Linked DNA regions of Caenorhabditis elegans. The protein of the gene in region 1 binds, or shares a complex with, the protein of each later gene. Each region holds a gene or a part of one and is shown in the gene's direction. Other genes may lie near its edges. The genes, in order: spt-16 and hmg-3.

What was found.
Region 2: spt-16 (region 1) and hmg-3 share a complex: the UniProt entries of both Caenorhabditis elegans proteins name them as parts of the FACT complex.

Annotation. Positions count from the first base shown.
Region 1 is NC_003279.8:10,786,804-10,790,730, forward strand, and holds the start of spt-16 (FACT complex subunit spt-16), read left to right. Parts: upstream 1-2,326; 5' UTR 2,327-2,333; coding exon 2,334-2,405; intron 2,406-2,453; coding exon 2,454-2,546; intron 2,547-2,596; coding exon 2,597-3,052; intron 3,053-3,413; coding exon 3,414-3,927. UniProt on the Caenorhabditis elegans protein: Component of the FACT complex, a general chromatin factor that acts to reorganize nucleosomes. The FACT complex is involved in multiple processes that require DNA as a template such as mRNA elongation, DNA replication and DNA repair.
Region 2 is NC_003279.8:5,816,430-5,820,356, reverse strand, and holds the start of hmg-3 (FACT complex subunit ssrp1-B), read left to right. Parts: upstream 1-2,224; 5' UTR 2,225-2,231; coding exon 2,232-2,468; intron 2,469-2,539; coding exon 2,540-3,177; intron 3,178-3,265; coding exon 3,266-3,927. Other genes in the region: Nuclear hormone receptor family member nhr-2, read left to right, coding at 204-681, 732-1,253, 1,372-1,485. UniProt on the Caenorhabditis elegans protein: Component of the FACT complex, a general chromatin factor that acts to reorganize nucleosomes. The FACT complex is involved in multiple processes that require DNA as a template such as mRNA elongation, DNA replication and DNA repair.

The DNA of each region.
Region 1 (3,927 bases):
AAGGAAAAATAGTGTAGTCATCTAAAAAATAGCTTTTATTTCAATTGAAACAACTGGAAGAACGCTCAAAAATTATAGGAAAGTTGAATTTTTTGCAATTTCCAACTTTCAGATTGTTTTTGAGCACTTCTTCCGTTTGTCCAATTGAATTAAAAAGCTATTTTCAGATACACAAACTGTTTCTCTACATTCTATCACCAAAAGAACTCCCAGTTCAACTATTTTCAGAACGATAAGCACCTTTTCATTATCACTGATCTCCACGTAGCGAGCTCTCGCAGCTGTCCATGATGCGGTTGTAGCCTGTGCTGATTTTCGAATCAAATCCATCTCCTTATCGTCTTTAACTGCGAACAGATGAGTAAACGCGAGAGTAACGTCATTCTTATTGACACCGCCTTCCTCGAGCGCCTTATTCCACGAACTGACGAATTCCGAGCTGAATTTCTCTTTGACGAAATTTCCAACATCTCCGCCTGCACTTTTGATGTGATCAATGAGCTTTTCAAAGTTTCCAGCGTCTTTATCGGTTTTATCGCGGAGCAGTGTGCTGACTGTTGGCACTTTTCCTGAGCTCTGATTGTCTCCAGTGACTGATCCGAAGAATTCGACTTTGCGATTACTTCCGAGAATGTAAATGTGATCATTGAGAAGCAACAGGACTGTGTCAGCGATTTCGTGGCCAAAAAGCCAGGTCTGAAATAAAAATTTGTCTTGAGTTTGAACAAAGTCTGAAAAATCCTTACAAATAGTTCGCTGGTCTTTGTATATGGATTATCAGTCTCTCCGTATACAAAAGCAAGTGATTTGATCGAATCTAGACCATCGGCTCCCTTCTCCTGTAAAATATTTGTAAAAAAGTAAAAACTATCAAAAACAGATCCAATGAAAATAAAATGGAACTCGGTAATTTTCAAACTCAATCTCACAATTTTTCGATGGAAAACATTTTAAAAATATAGCAATTCTACAGCTTTTATGGCAAAAAAATAGGGAAAAAATTAGAATTCAAAAATGTTCGTCGACAACAACGCAAAACCACAATCGTGTCGAGACCCATCCGAGTAAGCCGATGTCCCTTTAACCAACCCTATCGCGGTTTTTTTTTAAATTTTTAAAATTTCTTCAAATATTTCGTCCGTTTCTCTTGTGGACCGCTGTTAAAATAGTTAAATACTTTATTTTTCAGAAAACAGATAATTTATACCAAATTGACAGATGTAGAGCTAAACTCCTCAAAATTTTCTAAAGTTCTTATAATTTTACTGTTGTCTGCGTTTCAAGGCCTGAAATATTGTAGGCACTATCGTAGGATTACAACCGGATTTGTAACTTTGATTATCTGAAAAGGAAAAATATTAAACTTTTCTTTCAGGATTTTTCGCAATTGCCGGCGTAATAATTGCTAAAAGTCGACTTTAACTTCAATATATTTTAGCATTCCGAATCTGAAACTAGTTCCCAAATGCCATCTCTCCTTATCATTATAGTCTTCTTGCTGGTATTCTTGGAAATTGGATTTTTCCCTGTAATGTGTGGATGTTGGATGGATGTTTGTACACTTCCATTATTCAATATAACATTATCACAAAGAATTGCAACATTTGCCACAGCTCCATTCATGTCAATATTCCTTCATTGGATGGTTGGAATGATTTATGTATTTTATTCAGCGTCATTTGTGATTCTTCTTCGAGAAATCCTTCGTCCTGGTGTACTATGGTTTATGAGAAATCTCAACGATCCCGACTTTAATCCAATTCAAGAAATAATTGATCTACCGTTCACGCGGCATTTCCGAAGACTTGTTGTATCTACAACTCTGTTCTTTTCAACGATTCTTCTGACATCCTACATCCCGCTCAACATAATCTCATCACTTATTCCACATCTTCTACCCTACAGAAACTCCACTTTCTGAACTCTCGCTGGAATTGATGTTTCTTCAAGAATTCATCACAATTGTGTACTCTCACATGGCCCCTCCGTAAATAACATGGCGGGAATATTGCATGCGGAGTGGTTGCGAAAGTGCGTGCGGCTGTTGCGTTCCTTGACCACGCCCAACTTCATTCCATTCTTTTTCGCGCGCAATCCTCACTTTCAGCTCTAATTTTTCAGAGTTTACAGTTCTTCAGTGAAAAAATATTTGTCTCGTCAAAACGTTTTTTTCAAAATTTTAAAATTGTGTCAAAAAAAATTAATTTTTTCGCAAATTTCAAACTTTTAGCCTATCCGAATCCGTTGCTGGTCACTTTGTTTACGTTATCGATTTTTGCTTCCATCTCTCAATCCTCGTGACTTTAACACAATTTCTAACTTTCAGGGGAGAAATGTCTGGAAAACGGGCAGTTCTCAACAAGGATCTCTTTTTCCAGAGAGCGGAGAGGCTTTATGAGCACTGGGTTTGTGACTTTCAGGACTTTACGAATTTTTAATCAAATATTTTACAGGAGAAGGGAGCCGATGGTCTAGATTCGATCAAATCACTTGCTTTTGTATACGGAGAGACTGATAATCCATATACAAAGACCAGCGCACTATTTGTAAGGATTTTTCAGAATTTGTTCAAACTCAAGACAAATTTTTATTTCAGACCTGGCTGTTTGGCCACGAAATCGCTGACACAGTCCTGTTGCTTCTCAAAGATCACATTTACATTCTCGGAAGTAATCGCAAAGTCGAATTCTTCGGATCAGTCACTGGAGACAATCAGAGCTCAGGAAAAGTGCCAACAGTCAGCACACTGCTCCGCGATAAAACCGACAAAGACGCTGGAAACTTTGAAAAGCTCATCGATCACATCAAAAGTGCCGGCGGAGATGTTGGAAATTTCGTCAAAGAGAAATTCAGCTCGGAATTCGTCAGTTCGTGGAATAAGGCGCTCGAGGAAGGCGGTGTCAATAAGAATGACGTCACTCTCGCGTTTACTCATCTGTTCGCAGTGAAAGACGATAAGGAGATGGATTTGATTCGAAAATCAGCACAAGCTACAACCGCATCATGGACAGCTGCAAGAGCTCGCTACGTAGAGATCATTGATCAAGAAAAGGTGCTTATCGTTCTGAAAATAGTTGAACCAGGAGTCCGCTGCAAGCATTTCTACATAATTAGCCAGTTTTTGGTGATAGAATATAATGAAGCAGTTGATGTATCTGAAAATAGCTTTTAATTCAATTGAAAAAGCGGAAGAACTGCTCAAAATCAATCTGAAAGTTGGAAATCACCCGAAAATTAAACTTTCATGCAGTTTTTGAGCGTTCTTCCAGTTGTTTCAATTAAATGTAAAGCTATTTTTAGATGACTAAACTGTTTTTCCTTTTATCTATCACCAATAACTGGCTCATTTTTTAGTACTCCTGGGAAAACCACTGTTTTAATCCCGAGAAAATAATTCTTTTTTATTTTTGCAGCGAGTCCGTCACTCTGTTCTCTCCAATGAGTTTGCCGCCTTCATGAAGGATTCAAAAGTACAACAGGCACTGGCCAAGTATGAAGCCGACACATGCTATGATCCAATCGTAATGTCCGGTGGAAATTACTCGTTCAAATGGAATCATGAAAGCTCGGAATCTCATCTTCACAGCCAGTTTGGAACGATCATCACTTCGTTCGGAGCTCGTTTATCAGAATATTGCACAAATTTGACGCGAACTATGCTCATCTTCCCATCTTCTGAACTTGAGACTGCCTATGAAGCGATTCTTGCCGCCGAGCTGGCAGTAATTGCTGCTCTGAAGCCAGGAGCCAAGCTGAGCGATGTTTATAAAATTGGAATCGATACATTGACGGAGAAAAGTCCAAAACTTGCTGAAACTCTGAACAAGAAAGAGCTTGGATTTGCGACTGGAATCGAATTCCGTGAGAGTCGTCTTGCTATCAGTGCGAAGTGTGACGAGGTTGTCAAAGCAGGAATGGTCTTCATCG
Region 2 (3,927 bases), 5.0 Mb from region 1:
AACAAAAAATATTTTAAGATGTTGTACAAAGAGATTAGGTGAGAACAATAGAGTCAGATTTAGCGGAATTTGAGAACACGGTTGTACAGTATGCCGAGGGAATTCTACGTTTCAGCGAGTTACTAAATTAATAAATAAGGCAACGATGACTGGAAGATTACTTTATCCTTTCTATAGTAAAAACGTTAAATTCAATTTTTCAGCGCAACCACTCCAAACTACCATAATCAGCCACAAATGCAATTGACTCCACTTCAACAAGCAAAACCAGAAAAAGAAGAAATCTCACCATATGCAATTAATAATATTCTTTCTTCGACTCAAAGTTCTCCAGACAACGGAAATGAAGCCGATGATAAAGAGAACAGTTCTGTTCGTCGTAACACATTCCCAGCGTCATCTGCTTCAACAAAAAAGCCACGTGGTACTCCATATGACCGTACTAACACACCAATGACAGTAGTTCCACAAATGCCACAGTTTGCTCCAGACTTTTCAAACTATAATCTCACAATGAATGCTTGGAGTGAGTTCTTTAAAAAGGATAGATGTATGGTTTGTGGTGATAACTCTACTGGATATCATTATGGAGTACAGAGTTGTGAAGGATGCAAGGGATTTTTCAGAAGAAGTGTTCACAAGAATATCGCATATGTTTGTACCAAAGGAGAAAATTGCACAGTGAGTTTAATTAGACAAGCATTTCAAAAATATGCTATTATATTTTTCAGTTCTCATATGAAAATTGTGCGGCAAATCGTGGAGTACGTACTCGTTGTCAAGCTTGTCGATTTGCCAAATGCCTCGCAGTTGGAATGAATCGTGACAACGTTCGAGTGAACAAAGAAACTGATAAAGATGTTAAACCATCAGTGGCTTCGCCCAATTTTGAGATGACATCACAAGTGAAAGAGCTTACGGCCGCCTTTGTTGCAAACATGCCATGCTCTACTCACTTAACATCGGGAACTCATGCTATTGGAGCAATTAAGAAATTTATTGAATCAGTTCCAGCTTTGAGCTCACTTTTGCCAAAAGATGAAAAAGCACTTGAAATGAGTATTCAAAAAGTGATGAGTGGTATCTTGGCTATTCGTGCGGCTTTCACATTTGATCCAATCACTTTCTATTCCTGTGAGAATCCAGTAAATTTGCTTCGTGGCGGCATTCGTAATACAGTATTCAATGATTGTGAAGTTGCACTTCTCTCTGGAATTCATATACTTCAAATAGTCAATGGAGGTGTCGCTGAGGTAAGTAATTGTTTGGCATAATGCCAAAATTGTCGGAATATTCCCAAATGACACAATTAATCCCTACCATAACACTCAAGAAAGTAAATATTGCGCCAAGAAAGTTAACCTTTTTCAGATTTTTACGAGTTATTGTCAAGGATTACGCCATCAACTGTCTCAAACACATCTACAAGAGATAGGACTCTGCGATCGATTGCTCATGAGATTGGGACCGTATCTCAATCAATAACAAATATATTACTTCTGATAAATTCAGAACCGATTCGGTGTCTGGACACGCTTCCAACCGGTTCTGAATTCTCACAAAACTTTATTCCTGTCTTATGAATCAATATAGATTCAAAATACTTGTTTAAAGTCCCCTTCCCCCGTTACTATCATTTTCTATTCATGTTCTCAAAGTCTGATCATTTCTTACTGATCTCTTCCTCCAGGTGTGAATTTAATTCTCTATCTCACTCTCTCGTTCGGGCTATATACTGTTTCTTTTTGAATTTCCAATTGATGTTGTTTGTTAGGCTGTTACAGTACCAAAAATTATATTATTTGAAGTTTGTTAAAAACTTAATATATTTGGTACTGCTTCTTGGTTGTTGAAAAGATGAAATAAATATTATTTGATAATTTAACTATTTTGTATGCAGGAAAAAATTTGACGTGCCACAACTTTTACCGTTATTTGTCGTAATTTGTCGTAATAGTAATTTGTCAATTTATTTGTCAAAATTAGTCAATTATTAAAAAAATAATAAAATTAATAGAAACGGTCGTCAGATGCGGTGCTTGCGTATACAGTATACTTCGGTGTTCACGTATGATCGACTACCGTAGTTCTTTGTTTTCGGTTCGACGCGCGAAAAAATTAGAGTGCATTTTTCGAGAATTCATTTTTTTCATTCTTTTCCGGACTTTTCTTGTTCGCGGACGTTTTTCGCTTCTTTTCTTTACACGCGTTATTGACTGACAAGTTTCAGAATGACTGAGCTCAAATTCAAGGGAGTTTACGTGGAGGATATAGGCCATTTAACATGCGGAACGCTTACATTGACTGAAAATTCGATTAACTTCATAGGCGATAAGGGTGGAAAATCAGTTTACATCACAGGAACCGACGTCGATAAACTGAAATGGCAAAAGCTTGGCAACAAGCCGGGACTACGCGTTGGTCTTAGTGATGGAGGTGCTCACCGCTTCGGAGGATTCTTGGATGATGTTAGTTTGTTGTTCGTTTTCTTTATTTTTATACGTTTGTAGTCTCATTTTATTCAAATTCGAAATTTCAGGATCTTCAGAAAATCCAATCGTTCACTTCTTCTAACTGGTCTAAATCTATCAATCAATCAAATCTTTTCATCAATGGATGGAACTATGGGCAGGCCGATGTCAAAGGCAAAAATATTGAATTTTCATGGGAAAATGAACCGATTTTCGAAATTCCGTGCACGAATGTGTCAAACGTCATTGCCAACAAAAATGAGGCTATTTTGGAGTTCCATCAGAATGAACAAAGCAAAGTTCAGCTGATGGAGATGAGATTCCATATGCCAGTTGATCTAGAAAATGAGGAGGATACTGATAAAGTAGAAGAATTCAAGAAAGCAGTGCTGGCATATGCTGGATTGGAGGCTGAAACTGAGCAACCAATATGCCTTCTCACTGATATTCTGTGCACAACACCTCGTGGAAGATATGATATTAAAGTTTATCCGACAAGTATTGCACTCCACGGAAAGACGTACGATTACAAGATTCCTGTCAAAACGATCAATCGTCTATTCTTGGTTCCTCATAAAGATGGACGCCAAGTATATTTTGTGTTGTCGTTGAACCCACCCATTCGCCAGGGACAGACACACTACAGTTATCTCATTTTCGAGTTTGGGAAGGATGAAGAAGAAGATTTGGAGTTGTCGTTGACTGAGTGAGTTTATTTCAGAATTTTCTGGGAACAATTCCGTGCCACTCAAATATATTTTATATTGCCGTCCAATAATTTGAGAGTATTTCAGTGAACAACTCGACTATTTCAATGGAAATCTTCAACGTGAAATGACTGGACCAATCTATGAGACAATCTCAATTCTCTTCAAATCAATTTGCAATCTGAAAGTCACCGTTCCTGGACGATTCCTCGGAAGTTCGGGCACTCCTGCCATACAATGTACACATCGTCAGAACCTTGGATTGTTGTACCCAATGGAAAAGGGATTTTTGTTTATTCAAAAGCCGGTCATGTACATTCGCTTTGAAGAGATTAGCTCATGTCATTTCGCACGTTCTGATAGCGGAACTGTAACAAGAACTTTTGATTTTGAGATTGATCTGAAAACTGGATCATCGTTGACTTTCAGTGCAATGGATAAAGAAGAGAACAACAAACTATTCGACTATCTAAACAAGAAAGAGATCAAAATTCGCAATTCTCATCGTATCGATAACAAATCAGCTGGTTATGGAAGCAGCGATGAAGATGATATCGATCCATACAAGTCAACTGTGAAAGCAGAGGGTCGTGAACAAGATGATGACAGCGATGATGAAAGTACTGATGAGGATTATGATTTGGATAAGGATATGAAGAAGCAGAAGAATGACAAAGACTCATCAGAAGGTTCTGGAAGTGAACCTGACGATGAATATGATTCTGGCTCAGAGAAAGATGCTTCAGGAA